Linked DNA regions of Mus musculus: regions 1, 2, 4, 5, 6 and 7 are each reported to be linked to region 3. Evidence: microRNA targets listed by miRTarBase, many of them from high-throughput screens and not tested one by one. Region 3 holds a microRNA gene; each other region holds the end of a gene's coding sequence.

What was found. The annotated mature microRNA mmu-miR-3065-5p reads UCAACAAAAUCACUGAUGCUGG and lies in region 3 at 1,592-1,613, shown strand. An mRNA with a match to its seed (bases 2 to 7 or 8) in the 3' UTR can be bound and repressed. Matches are read on the target gene's strand: a 7mer-m8 pairs with bases 2 to 8, a 7mer-A1 pairs with bases 2 to 7 and ends in A, and an 8mer does both.
Region 1: miRTarBase lists Kdm5d as a target of mmu-miR-3065-5p. Seed matches in the 3' UTR shown: 7mer-m8 at 2,661-2,667.
Region 2: miRTarBase lists Fzd6 as a target of mmu-miR-3065-5p. Seed matches in the 3' UTR shown: 7mer-m8 at 3,570-3,576 and 7mer-m8 at 3,555-3,561.
Region 4: miRTarBase lists Cd33 as a target of mmu-miR-3065-5p. Seed matches in the 3' UTR shown: 7mer-A1 at 1,181-1,187 and 7mer-m8 at 1,825-1,831.
Region 5: the mRNA of Fam163a is a reported target of mmu-miR-3065-5p. Seed matches in the 3' UTR shown: 7mer-m8 at 2,436-2,442, 7mer-m8 at 2,394-2,400 and 7mer-m8 at 1,941-1,947.
Region 6: the mRNA of Cdc37l1 is a reported target of mmu-miR-3065-5p. Seed matches in the 3' UTR shown: 7mer-m8 at 797-803 and 7mer-A1 at 1,985-1,991.
Region 7: miRTarBase lists Atp2b2 as a target of mmu-miR-3065-5p. Seed matches in the 3' UTR shown: 7mer-m8 at 1,315-1,321.

The regions. Positions count from the first base shown.
Region 1 is chrY:942,350-946,442 of GRCm38, reverse strand. Kdm5d (lysine (K)-specific demethylase 5D) reads right to left here. Exons shown (of 26, transcript NM_011419.3): 25 at 3,802-4,001; 26 at 2,632-3,619. The coding sequence ends at 3,278. Among named protein-coding and RNA genes, the nearest start is that of Kdm5d, 47 kb to the right of the region's middle.
Region 2 is chr15:39,036,273-39,040,365 of GRCm38, reverse strand. It overlaps Fzd6 (frizzled class receptor 6), which reads right to left. Exons shown (of 7, transcript NM_001162494.1): 7 at 2,174-3,980. The coding sequence ends at 3,812. Among named protein-coding and RNA genes, the nearest start is that of Gm7194, 3.9 kb to the left of the region's middle.
Region 3 is chr11:120,013,189-120,017,188 of GRCm38, forward strand. It overlaps Mir3065 (microRNA 3065), which reads left to right and starts at 1,579; the gene lies at 1,579-1,665. Aatk (apoptosis-associated tyrosine kinase) reads right to left here. Exons shown (of 14, transcript NM_001198785.1): 4 at 3,540-3,619; 5 at 3,125-3,243; 6 at 2,918-3,005; 7 at 2,271-2,404; 8 at 462-546; 9 at 260-381. It overlaps Mir338 (microRNA 338), which reads right to left and starts at 1,674; the gene lies at 1,577-1,674.
Region 4 is chr7:43,525,541-43,529,540 of GRCm38, reverse strand. It overlaps Cd33 (CD33 antigen), which reads left to right. Exons shown (of 6, transcript NM_021293.3): 6 at 533-2,085. The coding sequence ends at 679. Among named protein-coding and RNA genes, the nearest start is that of Cd33, 5.6 kb to the left of the region's middle.
Region 5 is chr1:156,075,104-156,079,196 of GRCm38, forward strand. It overlaps Fam163a (family with sequence similarity 163, member A), which reads right to left. Exons shown (of 5, transcript NM_177838.3): 5 at 853-4,093. The coding sequence ends at 3,794. Among named protein-coding and RNA genes, the nearest start is that of Tor1aip1, 41 kb to the left of the region's middle.
Region 6 is chr19:29,015,473-29,019,565 of GRCm38, forward strand. It overlaps Cdc37l1 (cell division cycle 37-like 1), which reads left to right. Exons shown (of 7, transcript NM_025950.4): 7 at 534-4,093. The coding sequence ends at 632. It also overlaps a transcript of Ak3 not described here. Among named protein-coding and RNA genes, the nearest start is that of Cdc37l1, 27 kb to the left of the region's middle.
Region 7 is chr6:113,744,915-113,749,007 of GRCm38, forward strand. Atp2b2 (ATPase, Ca++ transporting, plasma membrane 2) reads right to left here. Exons shown (of 20, transcript NM_001036684.3): 20 at 1-3,934. The coding sequence ends at 3,623. Among named protein-coding and RNA genes, the nearest start is that of Sec13, 6.3 kb to the left of the region's middle.

The sequences.
Region 1 (4,093 bases), not on the chromosome of region 3:
GCTCGAGAAAGTATCAAAGGAGCTAAAGAGATCTGCAACCCTGTAGGTGCAACAACATTATGAACTTACCAGTACTGTCTTAGTCAGGATTTCTAAACCTGCACAAACATCATGACCAAGAAGCAATTTGGGGAGCAAAGGGTTTATTCGGCTTACACTTCCATGCTGCTGTTCATCACCAAAGGAAGTTAGGACTGGAACTCAAACAGGTCAGGGAGCAGGAGCTGATGCAGAGGCCATGGAGGGATGTTCTTTATTGGCTTGCCTCACCTGGGTTGATCAGCCTGCTTTTTATAGAACTCAAGACTACCAGCCCAGAGATGGATGGTCCCACCCACAAGGGGCCTTTCCCCCTTGGTCACTAATTGAGAAAATGCCTTACAGTTGCCTTATCTCATGGAGGCATTTCCTCAACTGAAGCTCCTTTCTCTGTGATAACTCCAGCTGTGTCAAGTTGACACAAAATTAGCCAGTACAATTGACCCCTTGTCAACTTGACACACAAAAACATCATTAGTTAGCCTCAACCCTTACAACTTATTCATCTCCAAGATCTAAATAACTTTAAAAGTCCCACAGTCTTTACATAATCTTAAAATTTCAATCTCTTTAATATATCCATCTCTTTTAAAATCCAAAGTCTTTTTACAATTAAAAGTCTCTTAATTGTGGGCTCCACTAAAACAGTTTCTTCCTTCAAGAGGGAATATATCAGGGCACAGTCACAATCAAAAGTAAAAGTCAATCTCTAACCGTCCAATGTCTGGGATCCAACTCACAATCTTCTGGGATCCTCCAAGGGCTTGGGGTCAGTTCTCCAGCCATACCCTTTGTAGCACACATGTCATCCTCTAGGCTCCAGATGCCTGTACTCCACTGCTGCTGCTACTCTTGGTGGTCATCTCATGGTACTGGCATCTCCAAAACACTGCATGACCCCTTCAGTCCTGGGTCTTCAATTGCAAATGAGGCTGCACCTTCACCAATGGCCTTCCATGGCCTATTACAGTGCCGAGCCTCAGCTGCTTTGCATGACCCCTTCATGCCTTCAAAACCAGTACCACCTGGGTGACCCTTACATATTACTAAGTCCCGCTGCAGCAGGAGTACAACCTTGACTATCTCCAGAACACAGCCTCTTTGTGCTTTCAGAAAACACTTCCCAGAAGATGTCACCTCAATGATGCTTGTCTCTTCTTTATCACTGCTAATTTCTTAGCTCTAGCTAACCAGCATCAATAGTCCCAGTAATGCAAAGTTTTTGCTTTGGTAGTTCTGGTCTCTTGTTAATCACAGCTGATTCTTCAGCCCCAGCTAATCAGAACTACAGAATCTTCACAATCAAAACAGCAATGGCCCTGAAAAGTCTTTAATTTTCCCTCTGAAATTTCACAAACCAGACCTCCATCTTCTGCAGTGTTCTCAACATTATCTTCCAAGCTCCTACACAACATCCGACAGAGCTCTTAATAACGGATGGATCTTTTAGCCCAAAGTTACAAAGTCTTTTCACAGTCCTCCCCAAAACATGGTCAGGTTGTCACAGGAATAACCCACTCTGCTGGTATCAATTTGTCTTAGTCAGGGTTTCTATTCCTGCACAAACATCATGATCAAGAAGCAAGTTGGGGAGGAAAGGGTTTATTCAGCTTACACTTCCATGCCTCTGTTCATCACCAAAGGAAGTCAGGACTGGAACTCAAACAGGTCAGGGAGCAGGAGCTGATCCAGAGGTCATGGAGGAATGTTCTTTATTGGCTTGCCTCACCTGGCTTGCTCAGCCTGCTCTCTTATAGAACCCAAGACTACCAACCCAGAGATGGTCCCACCCACAAGGGGCCTTTCCCCCTTGGTCATTAATTGAGAAAATGCTTTATAGTTGGATCTCATGGAGGCATTTCCTCAATTGAAGCTCCTTTCTCTGTGATAACTCCAGCTGTGTCAAGTTGACACAAAACTAGCCAGTACAAGTACCTCAGAGCTCTTGACTCTAGCTGCATATGTATCAAAAGATGGCCTAGTCGGCCATCACTGGAAAGAGAGGCCCATTGGACACAAAAACTTTATATGCCCCAGTACATGGGAATGCCAGGGCCAAAAAGTGGTAATGGTTGGATAGGGGAGTGGGAGGGAGGGTATGGGGGACTTTCGGGATTGCATTGGAAATGTAATTGAGGAAAATACATAATAAAAAATATTAAAAAAAAAGAAAAAGGAAGTCATTATAAGTTCAATAAAACAACGTTCTAAAAGAGAAGAAAGGATTCATCTTATTTGACACTTAGTAGGAAAGTATAGCTATGAAGACATTACCTAGACAACATGTATCAAGAAGCATAGAGTTGGGCAGTGGTGGCAGACACCTTTAATCTCAGCACTTGGGAGGCAGACGCAGGCAGATTTCTGAGTTTGAGGCCAGCCTGGTCTACAAAGTGAGTTCCAGGACAGGTAGGGCTACACAGAGAAATCCTGTCTTGAAAAAACAAAAACCAAAACAAAACAAAGAAACAAATAGAACCAAGAACACAGATACAGACAAGTATTTTAAGTTCAGAAACAAATGCTGTTGAGTCCCACAGCAACGATTTCCATCCTTGATTTTTCTATTCCCATAGATGTATAAGTCAGATGCAGTTCTAACCATACTGTTTTATTTTTAACAACAAAATCAAAAGGAACAAAATTAAAAATAAACAATTATGGTAAGTTTGCATTACTGTATATATTCCTTTTTCTTAAGAATTAAAAATACAACGTTCTTTTAGAATGTAAACCAAAGAGAAAAATAGAATGAAAATTATAAACTAAAAGACACTTGTTTTAATAAGTACTTGTTTTGATGTGTGATTGATGAAGGATTTAAAAATAAAGATTAATAAATGTTATCATTCTCAAATTTTATTTTTGTCTCTCCAGATTAGAATAGAGATAACTAAGAACATCACTTTATCTATGCTAGTCCCAGGAATATTGATGGTAAAATTTTGGGAAACGCATACAGGGAATACTTCTTAGGAATTATGGCATAAAAATGTATTAGGAGTAAGGATAAAATAATTTGTGGTCAAGCTCTAGATAAGAAACAAATACTTTGGGGGTATCTGAGGGATTAAGGGCAGAGGAAGCTGTAGGAATAGAGTAAAATGGAGGAAAGGAAGGGACCAACAGAAAGAAATGAAAAAGAAGAAGGAAAGAAAGAACAAGGGAGGGAGAATGGAAAAGACTAAGGTAGGAAAAAAGAACAATCACATACTATTGTTATAATCACATACTATTGTTATAATTTTTGCTGATGAAAATAAGATAGGTGTAGTAAAGGTGTTAAGGAAGGAAAAGAAGATGAAGGGCTTGGATCCTTTCCTTGTACACTGTTTATGTGCTCTTTTAAGATGTTTGTATGTTCTGTATGGTGTGTGTACAGCACATTATCCCCAAGTATTGGCTTTTGAAACTTTTCTTCCTTAGGCTTAATCCTTGAACTCTTGACTCTTTTTGATTCTAGCTCTTTTTGAGTAAAATCCTCACCCTTTCTACTCAGAACCACCTTTTGCCTCCTCTGCCGTCGCCTCTCTGGTGTCTGTTCCTCTGACCAATTTCCTGGGTTTTCAGGCTTCTCAAGCTACAATACACAGACAAAATAAATAAATAAATAAATAAATAAACAAATAAATAAGTAAGTAAGTAAGTAAGTAAGTAAGTAAGTAAGTAAGTAAGTAAGTAAGTAAGTAAGTAAGTAAGTAAGTAAGGTGTATGTGGTCCACATTTGTAGTGAAACCAAGGACTATCCATGACACATCTCACCTCCAGAAGTGTATGAATGCGCTCTAGATTGGGATTCTGCCCAGCCTGCAGCAGCTGCCAAATGCTGTAGTTCTCATCTAGGGTAACTTCAAGTAGATCTCCTTCCATCATAAGCTCCTCTAGGGGTGCCCGGGTGGCTTCAGGCAGTTCCAGTACTGGGCCAGTTAATTGGGATAAAAGTGAAGGCAGCAGTTCCTTATCTGGAGGGTTTGGGGAAAGTTCTTTTAGAATATGACCTTGCTCTAATTCTCCTTACTACAAAAGAGCTGAAGACACAGAAAGCCATTTTGGT
Region 2 (4,093 bases), not on the chromosome of region 3:
AGCCATGACTGGACTGATAAAGGGCAGAATAATCTCAAGAGCACCTCTGCCTGTCAGGAGAATGTTTGTAATACTTGTAAGGCTTGGAGGCTCATTAGTCATGGTAGCTAGTTTAATGTTCTCTAGTATTTATAGAAAACCACATTTAGTAACACTTTATACCCATATACTAGATTTTGGGAAAAAGCCTGTCACAGATCATGATTTTTAAAATGGATTTATTTTGGTCAATCATGACTAATTTATTATAGAATATGTTAAGTCCTGGATAACTGCTGCCTTTCTAGTCTGCCATTTTATGCTGTTACAAGGAAGCTTTCTTATGTCCAAGTTGATTGCAACTCCATTATGTTCTATGCTTTGGTGTTCTTGGAATCCAGTCACGATAGAGCTCAGTTAGAGTGACTTTGAATAGCTAGCCACAATAGGTTTGGAGCAGAAACCACTGCCCAGCAGTGCCTCCTGTCCCTTATGTATGGGCTTTTATGGTTGTCGCCTTTATAAGCAGCCCCTGGGATGGAACCCAACATAGGCACATGTACCATAGGGGTCGGGTAAAGTTTTAAGTTCCTAAAATCTCCCTGGGAATTGACACCATATTTGGATGAAAGCGACATGTATATGAAAGTAAGTGACATTCTGATTTGCAAGTTAAGACGTGAATGCTAGGCAAGGCAAGGCCCCACCGCAGGTGAACCTCAACCAATGGGAACAGGTTGAGAGTACAACAAAGACATTTTCCTAAGGAAGTCCCCTATGCCTAAATCCTGATTGGTGGAATAATTTGGCACAGGCGTTTGTGGATTTCAGGTTTAAAAGCTCCACAGGATACTGGCCTCAGGGTTGTAGTAAAGTCCTGAGTCTGGTCTGCAGCCCTGACTGATCAGTTCCCAGGCACGTGCTCAGTAAACTCTCCCTGTCTGATTAAGATCAGTGTTTGTGTGGTTTGTGGAGTGACTCCTGGACATCAATGATAGACCCTTTCCCCCCCCCCCCCCCCCCCCCCGTTTTTTAGACAGGGTCTCTGTTCATAGCCTTGGCTGTCCTGGAACTCACTATGTAGACTAGACTGGACTTAAACTCAGAGATCTGCCCACCTCTGCTTTTGACTATTGTGATTAAAACCATGTGCTTCCTCCATGCCTGGCCTGATACACTATTTTTTAAAATTATACATGTATGTATTTTATGTGTATTAGTGTTTTGCTTGTATGTATGTCTGTGCACTGCCAGTGTATCTGGTGCCCACAGAGGACAGAATATGGCATCAGACCCCCTGGGACTGGAGTCAGGGATGATTGTGGATCCTCGGAATTGAACTCAGGTCCCTGTAATAAGTGCTCTTAACTGCTGAACTGTCTCCAGTCTCTAGGGTTTGTGGATGGCCAAGCATGGTGGTGTGGTCCCGTAATCCCAGCACTCAGGTGTAGGAAGGACAGTGATCAATCCAGAGGTTGGTCTAGAGTACACAGTAAAATGTAGGCCGGCTTAGGCCAGCAAACCTGTCTTGAAACAAATTCAGAGGGCATAAACAATAACCCTCTTTCTCTAAAAGACTTTCATTTGCTTTCCACTGTGAGGCTCCTAACCCCGGGCCAGAGTCTGGGCTTTCTCTGTCCCACACAGACAGCATGAAGCACGGTGGTTTTCAGGTGGTTGAGGTCACAATTCTAAATTTATGGAAGGCACTGGTCCCTTTCTCCTGCTTACCTAGCTTCACTCTGAGACTCCTTCCATAACACTGTCCACTTCTCTGCAACACTCTGTAGCAATGGCTGCAGACAAGACAAGCTGCAAACCCTGGGCTTGGTGACAGGAATTCCTCTGACCCCGAGTCCTACCTGACAAGTCCTCCCTTTATTAGCTGTTTAGTATGTGGAAAGCAAGACTGCTTCACTGAGGAGGTTTGGTTAAATGATCTGATCCACTGTTGGGAGCAGATCCAAGGACTCCGGCTTGCTTCGCCTAATCTAGCAGGCCTCCCATGGGCTCCAACACACTGTAGGCAATATGGCTATAAAACTACACTTGGGGAAGAAACTGACAATATGCAAGTTCTTCACTGTCTTCTCCTACCTCCGCTGAAAGGAAGCTTCTGACTTCTGCCTTTATCAATCTAAAACGGCTACACTGTTTCTGGGTCAGTACTATATACCTAGCACACAATACAATCTTTTATACAAAGAAAATTTTATTGATGAAAAGAACACACAAAAAAATTTGTGTCTGAAGTTTACATATGTGGAAAAGTTAGTATTTACATTTCCCATACAGTACATGATAATTTTCATTTTAAACTTTAACAGAGCTCCAATGGGATCAAAGTATCTAAGAAAACCTCGCTGGCGAGATAATCCTTAAGGAGGACCAGCACTGAGACGCTGTCTTAGCACCTTCAGTGTCTTCACGCTGCATCTGCTGCACTACACTCTTCCTGCCCAACTCTGACTCTGCCCTTCGCACATTTTCTTTTGCAGGCTTAGATGCAGATAGGAATTTTGCATAGCATCAAAGAAATTTACAACACAATGTGTTTGTACTATTCCAAAAACATTTTTTTAAGTTTAAATTTTTAAAACAGATAAAAGCTGAGTGTGGTGGCTTGGGAGAGATGAGTGGGCTGCAGAGGGGGAGATCTCTGTGACCTGCCTGGGACAGACTGAACACCAGACAGCCAAGGAGCACCACACAGTGAGTTCCTGTCTCGGGAAATAAAATACTAAAATAAAGACAGGCACGAGCAACTACAAATGGCCATAATTCAATCCTAATTCAACACTTAAAAGGGGAATCGACAGCTCGGCCTAACTTGTAAAAACCTACCATCTTACCTGCTGATTTATAACATGCAGAAAGAAAGGGACAGTCCAATCAGGGAGGGACCTGCCACCAAGTTCCTCCTTTTGGGGAAGGTAGGGGTGGCTGTGACCACTTCTTACAGACCTTTCAGTGTGACACCCACTCTTTTTACTGTAAAGAGGCTGCTGTACAAGTTTTTTAAAAATCCAGTGTAACAGCTATCACAGTCGCAAAGTAGCTAAAATAGTAGAAAAACATCATAAAAATATTTGATTCAATTCTCTAGGATTTTCAAAAGTTCAAATACACATAAGCATATTTTCAAATTCATATCTACATATAAAGGTACAAAAGTTTTAAATACTTCAGCAAAGAAAAATCTTGGATTTATATAAAGAGTGAAAGAGCATATCTTAAAATACTTTAATGAATCTTCAATAGAAGGAAGACTCCTCTAATGCCCTTCCCATCCCCACATTTAAAAAGTGTTATTAACTGGGCACTCCTGGTTGGTTTTTTAGGTATAAATGCATTATATTATTTTTGAAATCTGGGCTGTTGTTTCTTTCAAGTTTAAAAACAGACAAAAGGCTGGGCAGTGGTGACCACACCATTATTCCCAGCACTCGGGAGGCTGAGGCAGGCAGATCTCTGTAAGTTTGAGGCCAGCCTGGTCTACAGAGGGAGTTTCAGGACAGTCAGGGCTAGCAAAGAAACCCTGTCTCAAACAAACAAACAAAAAAACAAACAAACAACAACAAAAATAACAGCAACAAAAATAAAAGCCAAACCAAAAAAACAATAGACAAAGCTGGTTTAAGTGCAAGGAAGACTGTAACAGTGAATTTTCCTTTTGCAGTGCTGGGAGACAACCCCAGGTCCTCAAGTATTCCAGGTGGGCGCTGTACCACTGGGCTACTCTCCCAGCTCAACAGTGGCCTTTATAAGACAAATCAGTTGGTCATCTCCAGTGTAACATACATGTGCTTCTGGGGGAACGAGACAGTTTTCTTCAAGCGTCGGAATGGCTGCCAGCACCCTGCTCTTTCCTAGCTCTGGAAGCTGAGTGAACAGGCAGAGATGTGGAGCCCTTGAGGCTGGTTGGTTCTGGAGAACTGGCGGCCTGTGAAGTGCTGCAGTCTATCAGGCCAGTCTCAGGAACGCTGCTCTTTGGACTTACCCTGGAAAACACGAGTGTTTATGTGCACAGCAGAAACACAGACAGGATGTTAGTTATCCTCCTAACCCTGTGCATTCATCCCAAAGAGCTCTAGCAGGGGATAACCCACGCAGC
Region 3 (4,000 bases):
ACACACACACACCAGTATAGGAACCTCAGGAACCCATCATCAACGAAGTAGCCTGTAAAGTGCCTCTCATGGCCACAAGGTGGCAGGCATGAGTACACTTTCCCTGTGTGGCAGCCCTAATCCTAGCCAGAGAAGGAAGTCAAAATGCTGGAGCAGGGGGCAGAACTGAAAGGCAGCATCCCCACTAGAATAGCTGACGCCAGCGCCATCTGGGGAGGCGGCATCCCAAGGCCCTCCCGGCAGCCCTGCCTGCGCTCACCACACGTTGCTGCTCTTGGTCTGGTCCACCACCAGCAGGTTGCCGTGAACCTCGTCCACCAGCTCTGGCGCGATCCAGCGCAGCGGCACCCACAGCTGGTCAGCGGTCACGAGATAGTCTTCCTGTAGCACGCAGGGACAGGATGGGAGTGAGCTCCGCTCAGCAGCTGCCCCTGCACACGGGCCCTGACGGCCTTACTCACCCTGTATTTGCAATGCGACAGGCCATAATCACCAACCTTCACTGTCAGGTCAGCCGTAAGCAGGCAGTTCCTCAGGGCCAGGTCACTGCGGAGTGGAAGGCAATGTCAGCAGAGTGTGCCAGCCTGAGTGAGCCCTGGTGGAATGGTTGGGCTCCCGGGCACAGCCAGGCAGACCGACAGGAAGGGGTGTCTGAGGGGCCACCCACTTGTGCCCAAGTTCTGGCTCCACACCCTGTACTGGCTATTTTGGAAGACCTGTGTGGACTTCAATGCATTTCTAATACTTCTTCTTCTTCTTTTTTTTCTTTTTTTTCCAGACAGGGTTTCTCTGTGTAGCCCTGGCTGTCCTGGAACTCATTTTGTAGACCAGGCTGGCCTCGAACTCAGAAATCCTCCTGACTCTGCCTCCCAAGTGCTGGGATTAAAGGCTTGCGCCACCAAGCCCGGTTTTCAATGCACTTCAATGCATGTGAAAATCAGGCAAAAGATGCTCAAGGACGACCCCCCCCCCCCAGCAAAGTGCTGTCTAACTGCACCAGAGCCCTAACCCGCTCCACCCTCTGTCTGATCTGCCCAACAAGGGCCAACAAGCCATGGAGCAGAGAGTCTGCAGTGTCCTCTCAGGACCCTCACCCTTCCGACTACACTCCACCATCCCAGTCCCCAGGAGGTAAGAACTGATGGAGAAACCGAAGCCCGGAGTGTCTCAGAGGGTCCTGCCAGCAGTCAGAGCCCATGTTCTAGAGTGCAGCCCTGCCTGGCCTGCTACACAAGCTGGAGCCGAGGTCTAGAACAGTATGGACCACAAAGGCCCCTTTGTGTGGAGGATAAAAATCACCAACTCAGTGGGAAGCCTGGAATGCCAGGCTCTGTATAACTCTTGCTTGGCTATAGCGCCCCACCCCCAGGTGTTTGGGGTACAGGACAATAGAGTGCCACGGGACGCACCCTCATCTGCCATACTGGCTGTTCTGCTGAGAGATCTCTGGATGTAGATGGGGCCACCTTGGCCTGCCTCTACCCCAGGAGGACTGTGTCAGGGGACAGGGTGGGGTGACCTGGGTCCATGCCTATGGGTGGGGCAGCTGGGCTAGGCAGCAGGCAGGGCAGGAGGCTGGCAGCTGCCCTCTTCAACAAAATCACTGATGCTGGAGTCACTGTGCACCCACTCAGCACCAGGATATTGTTGGGGAGGACGGCCTGTGCAGCGTTGGAGCTGGTGGGCCGCTTGTCCGTTGCCACTTCTTCCAGCATGTGCCCCCAGCTCATGGGAGGCTGGGCATCCTGGCCACCAGAGGCAGGAGAGAGCCACCCCTCCCACTACAGGGCCAGCCCAGCCACTCCCTTTGTGGCCTGAGGGAAAGAGGCTGGGGTTGGTATGGAGCCCAAGTATGGCTGACTGCTCTAGTAGACAGGATGGGTTTCTTCATTTAACTGTCTGCAAGGTGAGTTTCAAATGCCAAGTCTTCACAATTTATTTCATTTTGAGATGGTCCTGCTACATAGTCCTGGCTATTCTGGAGTTCATTAGGTAGACCTAGCAGGACTTGAACTCACAGAGATTCTCCTACCTCTGCCTCCCAAGCGCTGCAATTAAAGGCGTGAGCCACCATGCCCAGTTAGTTTTCCCAGTTCTAAGAATGATAAAGTTCCCTGCAGAGTGGCTATTTTTAGATGAACCCAGTTCATGAGGCCCACAACGTGGGATCACCGTGACTTTTCTGCACAGGGTCGTGTGATGGTGAGGGTTAAGGCCCTGGGGGAGTGGGGCTTTGTAGCTGTAGCCTGGCTAGTCTCGCTAGCCCTCACCTGTGTACATAGTTGTGTCGATGTAGATGCAAGACGCCACACGCCACCTCGCACGCCATGCGCTGCAAGGTAAGTGGGTCAGGCGCCATGGACTCTGTCACCCGGCAGCTCCGTAGATAACCTTTGAGGTCCCCCTGATGGACGAGAGAGCACACAGTCACCTGCTAGCTGCAGCGACCAGCCCATCACAAGTCTGCCACCCACACCAAGAGAACCTGGGTCTGGTGGCCTGTGGATCAGCTGTGAACCCTAGTGTTCACTGCTGTTTCAGCAAAGCCTGTGTCTCAATTCTGGCACAGTGACCTCCATATAAGCAGCCACCAGAGCTGTGCATGTAAAGGGCCCAAGGGGCAACACGAAGACCCAGAACTCAGGCTCTGCCCCAGGAGCTTCGGGAGCCCTGTGGCTGTCCCAGGACACCTCTCGCTGAACTATCCAAGACCCCACAGTGTTGCCCCTGCTGCTGCTGGCTCACTTTCTCTCCGCAGACCTCCTCTGAGGGAGAGCAAGGACTACCAGGACTCTACTTTAGAAATAACAAAAGACCCCAAGAGGCTGAGCAAGAGAGGAGCCACTCCCCTTTGGAACAATGAGCTACAGAACAGGACCGGGAGAGACAGAGCTACCTCCCCGAGAGGACCACTTACCAGTGGACAGAACTCCATAACCAGCAGGTAGGGGGTCACTTCAGCACACTGGGCCAGGCACTGGAGCAGGTTGCTGTGCTGCAGGGCCCTGGAAGAGTCCACGGGTGTTTAAGTTGGAGGGCAGGAGAGGGTGTCCCATAGCCCTCAGTTTCTCCCACTGTGCTGCTCCCCTGCCCGGCCCCACCCCGCCCCCGCCACACCACCCACCTGTAGGGCTGCGCCTCCTCCAGGAACTGCATCTGCTCCTGCACGCTGGCGCTCACCTTCAGCTCCTTCACCACCACCTGCGTGCCACTGACGCCCGAGTGTACCTCCCCCAAAAACACCTGCCAAATGTGACAGGCATCACCAGGTCCCCTTTCAGTCTCCATAGGAAAAGCCATCTAGCGCCCAGGGCCTCAGATGGTCATACAACTTCTCACCAAGCTCTGGCTAGAACCCTCAGCCCCAGTCCACCCACAAGGCTCCTACTTTTCTCACTGCCTGGGGACTACAATGAGGAAAAAGGAATCAGGTACATGGTCCAGTCTGGGGCGGGTGTTAGAAAGAGCCCCTCCCTAGGGGATCCCCAGGAGTAGTGGGTCCACCCTTTGCCATTCCTGCCACCCCGGGGCATGCTTACCTTCCCAAACCAGCCGTGGCCAATCTCCTTTAAGTACAGGAGGCTGTGCCGGCCCAGGTCCGTGGACTTGAGAAGTTGCACTAGAGTGGAACAGAAATCCAGACACAGCTTAGCCACCGCTCCCTCTCCATCTTCCCGACCACGCTCTCCAGAGCCCAGAGAGCTTTCCCAAGCTCCCCAGCCAAAGAAGCTTCAATAAAGTGGAGGCCAGGTTTGAGCGCTGTCATCGAGGGCCAGTGTCTCTTAGGCTCTGGGGTGGCTGCTGTCAGCAGAGCTATGGACCTCAAGTCTCCATCCAGGCAAAGCCTGGGGATGCCCAGAGCAGAGCCACAGGGAGAAGCCAAGCCCAAACAGCAGGGCCTGGAAAGGCGTTTGGATGAGGCAGGAAGCTGGTGCCGAGGCCTGGGAGGACAGCAGAGCAACCAACCCCCTACCCCTGCCACAGGCTGGCATTCAAACCC
Region 4 (4,000 bases), not on the chromosome of region 3:
ACATCCTATAATCACTGCCTATCTCCAACTGCATCTGATGCTGTGACTCCAGGATGTTCCATACACAGGTCTGTGACAGGCACCTCATGCCTGTGTTAACAGTACTGCCATGGCACCTCCACCACATGGAGACCCACAGTAGAAAGTGGGCCTTGGGGAAACTGCTGTTCTTTAGTCTCTCGCTGGTTCACCTACATGGCAGCTATGCTAGCAGTCACGTTTTGTTTTCCCAATCTGCCTTCATCTCTTTACCATCTGAGCCAGAGCCTCATTGCTACGGCGCTGCCTTCCTGTGGACCCAGTGCTCAGTGTGCATGGTGTGACTCAGGCACATCTGGGGTGGAGTAGAGAGCACGAGATGGGTGACCTTAGGAGGGACCTCACCCTTACCAGTGAATGACCAGTGATACTTCAGGACCATTTGTGGATCAAGGGCCTTATTATAACGACTGCTCTGCACAGACCCTCTCTATCTCCCTGAACCTACTCCTTGTGCCCTGCCGTGGGACCCTTTTCTGTCCTCTCCACACAGGCTCATCAGCAGGACTCCAAGGTGCACAGCAATCCTGAGAATCCAAGACCCTTACAGAAGGACTCACCTCAGGAACAGAGCAGTGTCCACACTAAGATTTCCTTGGATTTCATGGGAGGGAAGCCTCAGGAGTACTCAGAGATCTAAATGCACCAAGCTTTGCTCTCCTGTGAAGAACCTGTGTCCTCTATGGCTTCCTGTGGATAATTCCTGCATCCCTCTGATCCCAGAGTGGGTTATGCTGCTGTGTGTGAGTCTTACACTCAGTTGACATCATCTGACTTTGCAATAAGAGACCCGGGACAGAGTCTGTGCTCCTTCATTTATATCCCCACAAGTTGTTCCCTCTATTTTTGGTTTTTGTACTCAGTATAATGATCCCCTACCTTCTCCTCCTGCCTCACCTCTTTCTCCTTCTCTCTTTCCACATCTCTTATATGGATGAATATACACATGTGTGTGCCAAGGCCCTTGCCCATGAGTAAGTACATGTATGAAGGCTAGAGGTCAAAGTTCAGTGCCTTCCTCTTTTTTCTCATCATTATCACTCTTCATCATCACTATCGTCATCATTATTATTATTCTGACACAGGGTATGGTGGTTTGAATAAAAATGGCCCCCATAGGGCACAATTAGGAGGTGTGGCCTTGTTGAATAGGTGTGGCCTAGTTGGAGAAAGTGTGCCACTGGGGCTGGGCTTTGGGGTTTTAAATGCTCAAGCCAGGCCCAGTGTCACTTTATTTCCTGATGTCTGCCAATCCAGAAATTGAACTCTCAGCTACCTATCTATCTAGCACCATGTCTATCTGCATGTTGCTGTGCTTCCCGCTATGAAGATAAAGGACTAAACCTCTGAACCTGTAAGCCATCTCCAATTAAACGTTTTCCTTTATAAGAGTTGCTGTTGTCACAGTATATCTACACAGCAATTGAACCCTAACTAAAGCACAAGCTCTCCCTGAGCCTGGAGCTTGCTGTTTAGGCAAGACTGGCTGGACAGTGAGTTTCTGGGGTCACCCTTTTCTGACCTCCAATATTTTGATGAGAGTTATAGACTGTCATATGTAGCTTTATGTGAGTGCTTTATTGCTAGGGCTCCTTTCTCTCTTGCTCAGGAACCTCACCTTTCACTGGCCAGGAAAGAGGGAGACTTGGAGTAATAACACTTTTATTGAATCAGGAGAAGAGAGTCACACTAACAATAGGAAAATCTTTTACCCAAGCAAATATGCACAAACACACATACATTTATACACACGTTCATACCTGCACATTCATTATCTCATACTTATTTGTTGGGTCTAGCAATCTGTCTCTGTCTCATCAACTTACATACTTACACACGCAAATAGTTACACACACACACACACACACACACACACAGAGAGAGAGAGAGAGAGAGAGAGAGAGAGAGAGAGAGAGAGAGAGAGAAACGGGGGTGGGGGGGCAAAGGCCTCCATGAGCAGGAGCAGGTTTTATTGAGCTAGTGCAAAAAGAACTCACTCATTCTGGATGAAAAATAAGCTCCAACCTTTATTGCTCAGAGAAAGGGAAAAAACACTTCTACTCTTTTATTGCTAAATAAGTTAAATTAAATGTCTCATTGTAAGAACCGCCTGCCTGCTGATTTCTGCTCTCCCTGCAGCTCCTTCTCTTCTTAGTCTCAGCTTTTTCCTCCTCAGCCCCTGTTGTATTCTGCTGCTCCCATATCGCTTCCACTCTGCTTCTCTTCTATTTTCTCCCTACGTCTACTTAATTCTGCTCTCTGTTTTGTCTCTTCTTGTCTGCTCAGCTCCTCATCCCTGTAAAGTTTCTAGTTTGCTTCTACTCTCTTTCTCTCCATTCTTCTTCTGCCCTCTACCATCTGCCTTGGTTTCTAATTCTCTTTTTGTATTCTGTGTTCTGTGTACTTAGCGTCATCATTCCTAGTTTTGAATATTTCCCAGGATACATGATTTCATGGCATTCCAGTAATCAAGAGTTCACCACAAATTTAAAAATTAATTTAAGTCATAAATTGAAGAAGAAGTTTACAACAGAGATGTGTACATGTGTCCCATTAAGACTAGTTATCTAGTTAGACACTCATTATCTGTCACTTGTTCTACAGGTTCATAGAGAGTCTAAAACTATATAATTCTTATGTCTAAGTTAACACTGAAGTTTTATATAGATAAACCCAGTCAATATTTTATCTTCTGTCCTTGCACCTACAATAAATCATTTGTTATTTTACAACCTTTAGTTCATTATTATTATTATTATTATTTTGCCTAAGGGAATGTATTCCTAAATAGTAAATCTGTATGCCTGTTTTCCATCTTGTGCAATTAGCTCATGATATGAGAAGAGAGTCCCAGAATTTCAGAGTCCCAGTTGCAGCTATCATATTACAGAGGACTCTAATTGCAGTCCTTATTGTAAGGGCTTAATAATTACTAGTATAATCTTTGGAATTCTTATAGAATCATTGATAGAAGGGAAAAAATCATCTATCTTTCTGTATAGCAACACTACAAGACAAGTACTATTTGATAATCTACAGAAAACCTGCCCAATAGGTAGGCTAGTGTGCAGAGATTGTTAGATTAACTTAATAATGACAGGAAAGGTGTATTGATAGCAGGAATCGAATCCTGAGACTTGTCCCTCTGGCCTTGCCTCCAAGGGCTCATCATCTCAGCTCCACAGTAAACCATTTCTAGAAGATCACCTGCTAGCCTTTAACCTCTCCTAGATGGCTCCTGACAAATGTCTCACTCTGAAGCCCAGACCAATGTAGAACTCATGGCAATCCTCCTGCCTCAGTCACCCACATGCTACTATTACAAGTTTGAGTCACCATGCCCACTCCCCTGCCTGGCTTTCTTCATTGTGCTGTTATTCATTTATTTTTCATTCATATTTCTCAAGGCTTATTTTCTTTTCTTTGTGTGTACGAGTGCCTGCATCTATGCCTACACACCATGTGCATGCAGTGCCCACAGAAGTCAGAAGAGGGTGTCAGACTCCCTGGGACTGGATTTAAGGACAGTTGTGACCTACCATGTGGGTACCGGAAATCAAACCCGAGTCCTCTAGGAGAGCAGCCAGTAAATTTAGCTACTAAGCTATTTCTCCAGCCTCTCCATTCATGCTTTTCTTAGCTGTTTTCTCTAATCTTAAGTGCCATTAGATTTGGTTTAAAAAGAAAATACAATCTGTGGAATACTGGTTATTCAGGAATAGAAAGAATAGAAGGGTTTTAAATTGAGATTTTACATTCTTGTCTTACATCATACAGCTAAAATGCGTCCTAACTCTACAATCATTTAAAACTTACTTTTTTTTTTAAACATTAAAATTAAATGAAAGAGTTTTCTTCTTAACATCCCACATGGCTCACTGGTTAAGAGCATGTAATGTTTTTGTAGAATATCCAAGTTGGTTTCTGTTACCCGCATGAATTGGCCTAAAATACCATGCAA
Region 5 (4,093 bases), not on the chromosome of region 3:
TTCCCATCAGACACAAGGCTGATTGTGTAACGCTGTTAACTCGTCTATGAAACAATGAATTGACTCAAAAAGTAGAGAGGAGGAGAAACTACAGGCCTGGAAAGTCAGGAGTCTGAACTGCCCCGCAGTGAGTTCACCATCTTGGGCAGGACACCTGTTAAGAACTACCAAATAAATACTGTGAAGTTTGTATTTTGGACAAAAAAGTCACATCTTTTAATCTCTCCCACTAAGTAAGACTTTTATGCAAGCATTTTAATAGCTTTTCCACCCCGTTAAATATTTGTTTACGCAAAGACCCTGCTGTTTTCTGGGAATGCAAAGGCCCTGAGCTATGAGGGGGCCTTTTCTCTCTTGGAGCAATGAGCCCTTCCCGCTTGCTCCTACAGTTCCTGTACACTAATTCTTTTCAGACAAGCCAACGGAATAGGCCCGCGAGGATCTCAGGTAATGGGAAAAGAGTCACCCCTTGAGTGAGAACAAAAACCAAAGGTACTTCCTGACTGGGTGTGTTCACTCTTCGGAGTAGTGGAGTTTTGATCTGTAGTAAGGTTTGCCTTGCCCGGTCACTTGAGATGGAATTGGGGTATCTTCCTCTGCAACCCAGAACTTATCTCTGGCACACTTAAAGCCCCCTTTCTCAAGACACAGGAAATGCTCCCAGGTTGTGATGGCTGACGCAGCAGAGAGGGCCCCTGGCTGGGCCGGCTTTGTGAGAGCTCTGTTAATGTGTGAGCAGAAAAGGAGAGGGAGGGCAAAGACTTTGGATGTTTCCAGTGTTCAGATGAATATTCATTTTAAAGCCATGCACAGTTGCCCCACCCCCAGGTAAAGAGTGGAAGGAAGACCCTCTGGGGTTTCTACTTAAAATTTCTCCTTTATTTTGACATTCGCTTGGTTTGTGTTCCAAGTTATCAAAGATACAACAAGACAAGAAATCTGCAGCAGGAGGAGCGGAGTGATGTGGAGAAGGATGGTGGAGAGGGCTGGCTATTCCCCGGGCCTCCCTTCTCTGCCTGTTTAGGGTTCAGTTTGAAGAGTGGACAAATTGTATCTCATGGTACAGACTCAGCAGCTAATGGGACAGAAGAGCCGAGTTGGGTGAGCCTCCTCTTCCCCAAGGATGGAAGATGCTCATGATGCTACAGTGAAGAGTGAGGGGGTCAGGTGACCTGTAGCCAAGGGTGGAACCTGTGCCTTGAACAATGTGGGCTGAAGGGCAGTGTGTATTCCCCGTCCCCTCTGACACCTGGGATCCAGATTTTGAATTGTGGCCCTGCTGGAGACACAAAGGCAAAGAGTGCTTTATACCCAGAGCCCATAGTAGAAAAGTGGCTTACAGATGGCTGGGTTCTCTTGGTTTACCCAAAGGCATGGGTACGATGGCATTGTTATCTAGGGTGAAGCTGTGGGACCACAGGAGAGCAAGGCACTGGGCTGGTAGAGAGGAAGTGGGGAAAGCTGCCAGGCCCAGCAGCAAATCAAAGGGTTGCACATGGCCCAGGATGAGCAGATGGGCGGGACTGGGTGCACAACAACTGCAGAGCCATCCCTCTGCACCGGGGAGAGGGGGAGGTTAGCTCTCCTGCTGAGGCTCCCAGAGGCAGTACTTGCCTTTTGAGGTTGCTCAGTAGGGGGTTGAACAAATGTTTTTGTTGTTTTTGAGAGGGGTGTGTGTCTCAGGAACCCCAGGTTGACCTTGAACTTCTACGTAGCCAGGGATGACCTTGAACAACTACCTTCCTCCCTCTACCTCCCCAGTATAGAGGTGTACCCACCAAGTTGGCTTTTATGCAGTGCTGGAGACTTGAGGTTTTGTGCAGACCTGGCAAGAGCTCTATCAACTGAACTACTGCCTTAGCCCCGACAGCAATTCAAATGATTTTGTCTTCTAATTGTCCGTGCTTCCTCCCAGCACCCCTTTTGTGGTTTCTAACCCACAACAAATGTCCCTGTACCCAGGATCAGTCAGCAGGAGAGTCCACCCAGCCCTGGCCTGGATGAAGGCAAGAGACGAGGCTGAGGAGCAGGTCTAAGACGTCTCAGATTTGTGGAACACTAAGGGACAAGCTCTTCGTTCCTGGAGAAAAATGGATGTCTGAGTGAAGACACCTGACTGGTCCCAGGAGCTAAGGAGTGGACAGAACATGAGCAGAGAGTGTCTCCTGCTTCTTAACCCTGTGTTCATTATTTACAGTTGGACATGTAAGATGCACCCTGCTTTTTGTCAGACCAACCAACCAACAGCCAACAAGATTTCAGGAGAAAAACCAGCCCACCCTCCATAGCATTCCGAGACTCTGGAATGTGCAGGCATTAATTTTTAGAAGTGGGGACAGCGATCCTTGAATCACGGAGGTAACTGGAGAACTAAAAATACAAAAAAAAAAAAACAACAAAAAAAAAACCAAAAAACAAAAAACCAAAAACAACAACAACAAAACCCAAAACTAAACTAAACTAAGCAAAACAAAACAAAAAACAAAACCCCATAAGGCCACTGCTAGATGGAAAGTGGGAGGTGTTGGGATCTGAAACAGCAAATTAGCTCATTACCAAGAGGCAAGCATAATATCTAATTACAAAGACACAGCCAACCTTCAGGAGATCCCCCCAAAACTCAGATGAGAAGGCCACAGCCCCTCGTGGGATAAAATGTCCTGTTAATAATGTCACATCATAGATGGACACTCATGGGATGCACCAGCCTCTCGAGGAGCTTATGCAGGTGTGTGGGAACTTAACTGTGGCACCATTGCCTCAGTTCCCTCCTTCTGGTTGCCATGGAGACTGGCCACTTGAATTGCCTCTGGGTCCAGTTGCTAAAGGGTCAGATTTTTCTTACTTGTTGGTCCCTTGGACCTTTCTGCTCTGCAGCTCCCGAAGGAGGCAAAGCCACATGGCTGTTGGTGGTGATGGATATGAGAGGAAGCCAGCCCCCACCCCAGGAATGGGCATCCGCACACCCTCAGAGGGCCGAGTCTATGTGGCAAGGCATGGAGGGATGGGGCGAATCAATGTGATCTATCTGTTCCCTGGGCTTCTAGAACTATAATGACTGACACCTGGAAAAGTTTCTCTAGCAGGGGGGCATAAGAAAGGACTTGAAGGGGAGACAAGGTTATATAGCCTCTTCTTGCTACAGTCCCCATAAGCAGTCGTGTGTTGTGGCGCTTAGCATCAGTTTGATGTGTTTCATGAGGAGGGACTAGATTAGCAGATGTGGTGCTTCCAGAACTCAATATTCCTATCAGAGCAGGCAACCCAAGTAAATAACAGAGTGTAAACTAGCTCATGTGTGCATTCTAGCAAGCAAACCCCGAGGGGCCCCGTTAACGCCCTTTCCTCTCTCCTCTCAAGCTCTGGGATGTCTAAGCCTCACCCTTTGTGTCCGTTTCTTTTAGGTCTGCCCACCTCATCTCCCAAGGTCTCTGGAAGCCTCCCTAACCTTTGCTTAGCTTTCCCTGGTCTTTACACAACCCATCAAAGCAAAGGGCTTGGGGCTTATTGGAAGGTGTCATATAGCGCTTGATTGTCAGAGAGAAAATCCCCAGAGAGAAACTGGTGACATTGCAGACCTATCAGGTCCCTACCTCTGGGCCACAGGGCTGGCGACAGGTCCTGCCCTGGTCCTCAAGCATTTACTTGTACACATCTTACTGTACCTCTGATCTGGAAGCCAGAGAAACTGAAATGGTTTCTGGGGGAGAGGGCGATTGGAGAGTCCCCTCCAACACTCCATTGCTCCTGCTGGGACCGCAGTGTTGGGTGTGTGCAGATTGGGGTGAAAGGATTATACATCGGTACTAATAGCCCTTGGATTAGTGAAGGCCTCATGCCCAGAACTTGGCCAGGTCACCGGGTAATTCTGTGGTGCTGCCAACTTGAGGGATGGGGTTCCCCCCTCTTTGTAGTGTGTAGGGGCGAAGGAGAGCCTCTCGCCTCCACCCCCGTTGGGCACCATGTCAGCTGTCCGTATGTAAAAGGGGGTGCGGTAAGGGGAGCAAGTGGTACAGTGGCTGGCCACCCCACACGGCTGGCTGCAGGACTCGCTGGTGAGAGGTGCCAGGCCGCCTCTGCCGTCCAGGACGTG
Region 6 (4,093 bases), not on the chromosome of region 3:
TTAACAAATGTAGTTTTTAAGTTTTATGTGTCTTGAGTGTTTTGCCTCACTCTGTATCTGTGTGTCATGTGCATACAGTGCCCACGGAGGCCACATGCAGCTCTCAGATCCCCTGGGACTTGACTTTCAGATGGTTGTGAGCTGCTATGTCTATGCTGGGAACTAAACATGGTCTTCCGTACTGCTGTGTCATCTCTCCAGCCTCCTAAAGGCATGCTTATTAAATGTAATGCTTATGAGGAAGTTTAACCTTGTATGGTTAAAGAATTAAAATTATAGTTTTGTTAAAAGAGATAAGAGGGGTATCTGTAACATTTCTGTTCCTGTATATGCACTCGGTCTGGATAAAGAATAACATTCTATCTTTAGTTCTTCAGGTTTCGGTCTGTGTGGACTCCACAATTCCACTTTCTTTCCTAGTATGCTCTGCTGCAGAGGAATAGAAGGTGAAGCCGTGTGCACAGTTGCATGTGTGGTGTGAAGCTGCTTTTCAAGTGTTGTTCCCCGTCTGTCTTTCTTTCTCTCTCCCCCAGAATCCAGATTCTCTTCAGTGTTGTACCCCTGCCCCTCTGTGCAGTGTAGACTCAGTGGTACACAAAGAAGATGATGACCGAATGATGGACACTGTGTGACTCAGCTAGACTGCTGAGCCCAAGGACTAGTTTGTTACGAGAAAGGAAGAGCCTGGCTATTTTCTTGACACTTTTATGGGTGCTGCACTTTATTTTTGTTTGGTTTTATGGGAGGGAAAGAGTACTGAAATGTTTTGCAACTTTTTTTATGTGCTGCTAGGGTTTTTGTTGTTGTTGTTTTGTTTCTGAAGGGAGGAGTGGTAACCATATGTGGCAGGAAGTCAAACTGGACAGACTCTCCCCCACCCCTCAGTTACTAAATTTGCCTTTAACTATTCTTATTTTTGGAATCAAAGTATGAAAATCTGCACAACACAATGTTTACAAGACTGGTTGACTGAGGAGATGTCTGCTACACGGTCTTTTTCTTACATGGATATACATGTCCTACTTCGAGGAAGGAATTCAAGATAAAAGTATGCTGTGTCCCACTGCAAAGTTCAGCTGTCAAATCTGGTATTCATCACATTAAAAGCAATAAATCCGCAGTGGTGACCTACTTTACTAATTAGTAAGCTGGGTGGCACAAATTGCTATTTTAAGACATTTACGTTTGTATTTTCGGCACCACCAGTTAACTCCTTGGCTAGTATAAATTTGATATTAAAAACATTACATTTATCCCTAAAGTAGTCTCAAAACTGTTCAGAAGTTGACTTTGTCCTGATGACTGTTTAAATATTAAGCAGGCAGTGAGTGTAGAAAATGATAGTTTTCTGTTTTTCCAAGAAGATAAAATGCAAGCTTACTCTAATCTACTTGACATAGTCCGGGACCTCTCAGGGAGTAAGTTTTAAAAGAATAGTAACGGCCTGTAAGAACAAACAGGAAGAGTAAGGTCCTTGTTAAATCACAGCCACTGTGTTCCATGTGGTGAAGCCTTGAGAAGTGGGAGCTGAGCTGCCAGCCATGCCTAAGGATTGCTAACAGCCCCTTCAAAGGCGGTGACGGGTCTCACTATCTGCTACTCGCTTCTAGCTCAGTTACTAGAGGATGCCTCTGAGTTTTACTGCTTCCTGTGTAATTCATTGCAGATCCACCAGGATGTTTGATGATTCTTTTATTTAGAATTAGATGACAGTGCCAATTATGATATCCTTATTATTTGAGGATTAATCTTCCAGCATACAGGAGCGCTAGCTTTGGTTATTTTTGAGTGTGATTTTTGGCTCAGTACCCACTTCAATTTGTAGCAAATATTTGGAAAGTGGGTACCCAGGGTTTGGAAATGCAGGTCTCAGTTTGAGTTAAGAAATCATGCTAAGGGGCCATGGGGGCTCAGAGCTGTGGCCTCCGCCTCAGCTGTCCTTTTCAGCCGATGGGGCACCTAACCCTGTGGAAATGGACTGGAATTGTTGAATCATACTTCTGTAATGTCACACTCTTCCTAGTTCCCAGAATAAAAGTCTTTTTGTGCTTTTGATATAAATATATATATACTCTATAATAAAATGTCTGACTAATTTATATGGCAGTGCTCACTGGCTTATAAGTTTCTTTTAAATCAGTGACCTAGTCATTGAAGTTATTTGTTTTATTTTTTTCTCTCTTCCTTTTTCTTCTTGTCTGGAGCATGCTCTGAGTTTCCCTCTGATACCAAGTGGACAGAATAGAACACAGTAGATCCCTGATTTCACAGAAGTAGCTCTTGACTGACCACCTTCCACTTCACTTCTGCCCATGACTTGTCTATGGTCACCCAAGTGGCCGTAGCTTTCATTTTGTCTTCTATAATTTAAAGCTCTTGATGGCCAAAACAACAACAACAACAACAACAAAAGTATTAGCAAAGTGAGTATATAATTTTAAAGTTTATTTTGGTTTTGTTATCTAAAACAAGAATTAAGAAAACTTTTTTAATACTCGGCTGGAACTTTTTTGCCAAAGGAATCACTAACGGATGTCATAATTTGCACTTAAGGATGGGAACTTGACCATTAGCAGGACTTCAGTATTAAGGTGATCTATTAGGCTGTGTGTGGTCGTGCATGGCTTTAATCCCAGCGCTTGGGAGGCAGAGGCTGGTTTATCTTTCCGAGTTCAAGGACAGCCAGAGCTACATAGAGAGACTGTCTCAAGACAAAATGACAGTCTTTTGGAGTCCTTCGATTTCCTTGATTTGAAAATGTCCTCTTAGTATTGAGCTAGCTATCTCCAGAAAGAATACTCCTCTCTTTTCTTAAGTAATAAAGAATAATACTACTTATCAAATAGATAACTCATATTTCAAGTGAAAAATTTTTCCCTAATCTATGAGAAATTCAAACTAATCACTTAATCAATGAAAAATAGTTGACATCAAAGTTATTTAACAAAGACTATTGTGTTTTTTCTTTTAATTTTTAATTTACTTTATTTATCTGAGTATACTGTAGTTGTCTTCAAACACACCAGAAGAGGGCATTGGATCTCATTACAGATGGTTGTGAGCCATCAGGTGGTTGCTGGGAATGGAACGCAGGACCTCTGGAAGAGCAGTCAGTCTCTTGACTGCTAAGCCATCTCTCCAGCTCCCAAAGACTGTTGTTTTATTTTAATGAAATAGCTGAGGGCTTAGAATGGTTCAGTTGGTAGAGCTCTCGCCTAAGATTCAATGAGCCCTTGATTGCATCCTCACCACCACATAAACTGGGCACGGTGGCACATACCTGCGGCCTTAGTGCTGGGGATGTGAAGACGGGAGGGTTAGAGGTGCATAGTTTCCCTCAGCTACATAGCAAATTTCACAGCCAGCCTTCTGCCTAGATGAAACTCTGTCTTAGAAGAAGAGAGACAGAAAGAAATAGCTGTACTCCATGTGTCCTAAGAGCTGTTGTTCCATCGAATGGTAGTGGAGAACATACTGATTAGAATTATTGCTCTGAGATTCGCTTTTAATTACACCATCTATGGTTCTTTCAAAATTTTTTGCCTAAGAAACTTATAATAGCCTTTAATTTCTCTTCAGAAACATTAGGCCTTTTTTAGACTAGCATGCATATTATTGTAAAAGCGAGTAAGAGCGCTTGAGATGGCTCACTTGGTAAAGGTGCTTGCTGCCAAGCCTGCCAATCTGTGGGACCTAAATGGTGGGAAGAGAAAGCCAGCTTCCTCACGCTTCATCCAACCTTCATACATGTGCAGAGCATACACACACACACACACGAGTTTTATCTTTACTTTTAAAAAATGTATTAAGTAAATTAACATGCTTCCCCCGAGAGCACACATCTCTGTTAATAAGTGGTCTCCTTATAGTGGAAATGCCAGCGAGGTGTTCTCAGAAGAGTCAAGTGAGTTACTGCTCTCAGAGGGAGACACATTTCAGTTCTTAAGTTGGTGAGGAGCAGAAGTGGTACTTGTCTGGACTGGGGTGGGTTTTTACTTCCCTTTTTCCAGCATAGCATCCACATTTTAGCAAGAAGATCCTTACATCCTACAGCATCCTGATTCCCCTCTATAATGGGTGTTACTGTACGATT
Region 7 (4,093 bases), not on the chromosome of region 3:
AACAGGGCCCAGAGTCTGGAGTAAGAGAAGGTTGGAGGATCTGGCAAAACTTAGTATTTCTTCAGAAGAACAGATGGGGGTGGGGTGGGGAAATCTTGTGAACAGGGAGGGGGACTTACTCCCCTGCCGTACACTAACATGTTTGAGAGGGACAGTAATTAGAACATGTGGTTGGTGCCAGATAAGGGAGTGAAAGAGAAATTCTAGAGTTGGACTGAAGTCTGTGTAAAAAATTAGGAGAAGGCAAAGGTGGCTTTTCAACAGGCATGGGGACACAGTGGTTCTTTATTAACCAGAGGACCCAGGATAGGATGGGCTCTGGCTTGGGAGCAGCCAGTGCCACATCCACTCTCAGAAATAGGGCACCTCCCTCCAGTCAGCTCTGCTGTGGTTGGGTTGAGGATAGGAGAGCATGGGTGGGTGGAGACATGGAGGCTGCTCCTCAATCCTGGATAGCTGGGAGCAGCAAGTTGAGCCTCTCCCTATCCCTCCACAGATGGGTGACTCTGAAGTAGCCAGAGCCAAAGTTCAGGTCCCCTGCTGGATGCTCACCTGTGTTTTCTCAGTTATCTGACAGGCTAGGGGATTGATGCACTTACAGAATGCAGAGGACAGGAAAGAAGGGGGTGGGGGCCACGCTAGAAAAGAGTAGAGATTTCCTATTTCTGCTTGATTTTTTTTTAAATACCATAGACACATCAGAAACACCTATGTGAGCCAGAAGAGCCAGCCATGGAAAACATAACCATTGCATAGTATTAAATGAGCAGAGACGGTGAATTCTTTATTTACAATTATTGTCTAGATAAAAAAATTCATAAAAACAGATGAATGGTCATAAATTATTGACCCCCTAATGGGGTGAACTGCCAAACGTATCCCATGCTGCTAGATATAGGACGCAGAAGTGCAAGCTTGTGTATTACAGTGAGTTCTGACAAACCAACCATCTCCTGTGTAGGTGTGTGTGTGTATGGAAGAGTGTGAGAGTGAGGGGCTGGGGCATAGGCTATCTCTCATTCCTGACACCGGGAAGCCAGCACTAATGTCAGGCCTCCTTGCTAGTTTCCTCTGCTCCTGTCTGAGAACCTGGCTCTGCTCAGAGAACCCCTTCCTCTTTGCCCTGGAGGCCTGGTTCCAAAGCCCGAGGACCCCGGTTTGTTAAGAGCAAGAACCCTGGTGGCATGGAATGAGGTCATAGATGCATGGTTGAATGAAGGAGGGCAGGATGAAAAATGTGACAAAGGACTCCCCACCAAAAGTCCCAAACCAATCAAACAACAACAGCAGCAGCAGCAACAACAACAACAACAACAACAAAACCAAACCAAAAACCTATCCTGTTCCAAGGCAGCCCCGGGTTTCCTTCCCTCCCTTGGAGGGGTACTATGGACTGGCTCTGGTGGTGTCTGTACTGGAATCCAGTGAGTACATCTAGGGCTGGTCCACCTGCTGGAGAGGTAGCTCTCTCTCTCTCCTGGATACAATCAGAATCCTTCAGAGATATTCTTCCTTATAGAAAGATTATGGCCAGGTGGGATGGGCAGACTTTGAAGCCCAAACCAAGAACTCAAGTTTTTCACAGCCATCCAGACGTGGGCCCTCCCAGCTGACTATGGCTCTTTTCCCAAGTGGCTGTCATCTTGTTTAGTGAAGAGGTCTCTGGGCCTGGAGGAGGGCTGGGGGGCCAGGCTGAAGAGCGAGGAGGAGCGATTGTGAGGAGGGAGAGAGTGAAGGATGGAGTTCACAAGTGAGGCGGAAAGTGTTTGATTTCCTCGAAGCACGGGACATCATCGGTCATGGTATTCAAAATGTCTTTTGCACTGTACAAGTTTATGGAAAAAGATTGTATGCTGAAAAGTCTCAAAGCAAACTTTGTATTAAATACAAAAGTTCTTTTATGAAAAAAAGCTGAGACCCACAAAGTGCTTAGCAGTAAGAGGCCGACAGACAAGCTCTTATTAAGTGGGATAACTAGTGCTGTTATTGTTGGGAGAGGGGATAGCCACCTTTTCTCACCTGTGATATGGGAAGATATCAGAATGGCTTTCTGTCTGGGAAAGCAGGACTTGCTGTTAAAAGGCTACAGTATATATTGTAACTACAGGAAGACAATTTGGTTTAAAAATCACACTGAATACATCTCAATGTACACATTATAAGGTTCATTCGGATCTAAATAGTGCAGAGAAAAAAGGCTATTCTTCTTCAAAAAGAAAAAAAAAAAAAACAAAAGCAGCAAGCCGTACCAACCCTCATCCAGTATGTCAGCAGTGTCTATGCTGCCGTTTATAAGAAAAGAAACTTCTAAATTACTAACTAAAAAAAAAAAAAAATTCAACACAATAGCATTTGTAATATCTGAACACTACCTTGACTCACAGACAGTGCCAAAGACAACTCAGTTCTGAAATGCTCTCTGTAAACTCAAGCGAGTTTCATTGAGAGAAAAGTCTTCCTTCTCCGGGTGCACTACAGACGTTGACGTCACCAGACCTGGACGGCCGTGTTGCAAACCCAGGAAGCCTTCTCTCCTCTTCTCCCTTGTCTACGGTGGAGTGAGCGAGCGCGTTGCTTAGCTCCTCAGGGTGGATCCTTGGGAGCCGTTGGCTTTCTGCCTGAGCTTCCCACAGTAGTGACATTATTGAACGGAAATAGCAGGCAAAAATCAGAGCATGGCTATCGTAAAACTTCAAGGATGCAATCCAGGGGATGTGTCTGTTGGGCCCGAGCTGTTTGTAAGCATCTTGGCCACCAGTGTCCTTAAACCACACAAATAGCCAAAGACATTATCTACAGGTTTGTAAACAAATTACATTCTTCTTTTAGGACATAAGTTAAAATAGAGCAATTTAAGCAGAAACAAGGCAACATGCCGGCAAAGGAACTTTATATATCCATGTATATATATGTATATATATATATATATAATATCTACTTATCTATACGCACGTATACAGTCTTCAAGAAGTATACGTTGATATAGATACAAAGAAACGGATATAACCTCGTGAGTGTCTGTGGAGTTCTTGGGTTTCATTGGTGCAAACCTACTCTGTGATTTCAAAAAGTTATTAAATTAATCTAGACATTTGAGACCATGCTGGGCAAGCATTTGAAACCTCATAGACCAGTGGACTGAACGAACAGTAGTCTCTGTTCCAGTTCCTGTTTGCAGTTCCCGCCTAAGGAAACAAACAAAAAACTCCCCTCCCTAGCCCTCCAAGAACCAAATGAGGGAGGGGATTAATAGTGTCCAGGTACATTCATGCTGGGGCCACGGTGGCCGGCGGGTGCATGGCTGGTCCGTGTCTGGGCTGGAGCCTGGAAAGGCTCTTTTTTTTTTTAATTAATTCGTTATTATTATTTTTTATGTTTTGGAGAAAAAAAAATCCACGCCACTCTCTGCTCCAGATGACCCCAGGGCAACCCCGCCCAAGGCCTAAGGAGTGAAAAAGAGTTCAAACAGCATGGCTGCCAGAGAAAGGTCTGGTTCCCTCTCTGCTGTGTGGGTTCCGCCCAGTGCTCCTTGCTGTGTCGGGGAGTTGGTGCCTGGAAGGGTGTGCGCCTGGAGGCGGGTGGCGGCGGGTCCATGAGCGTGGCCAGGCGACAGGGGCCTCAGCTAAAGCGACGTCTCCAGGCTGTGGATGGGGCTCCCTGGACTTGAAGAGGTAGCTGATTTGCTCGTGTCGGTCGTCAGGTTGATCCCGCTGTCGATGGCGCTATTGTTCTTGTTGAGCGAGGACGGCGGGCTCGAGTTCTGCTTGAGCGCGGCATCTTCTTCCAGGTCGGTGTCATCGATGAGGGGGATGTGGGGCTGGGAATCTTCGATCCGGAATTCAGGATGAGCCATGAAGTTATGGATGGAGGTTCGAGACTCGGGTTTTTCTAACCCTTCATAGAGAGAGCTACGGAACGCCTTCACGACGCGGATCTGCAAGGGAAACACTTTGGTCAGGAGTGGGCTGAGCCCTTCTGGGGACTTGGAGGAGGGTTGGGGGAGGGGAGGGCACGCAGGCGGCTGGGATCCACAGTCGTTGGTGTTATGAGCATCGATGGGGACGGAGGGCAGAGGGCTTGGGGGATGCATCCA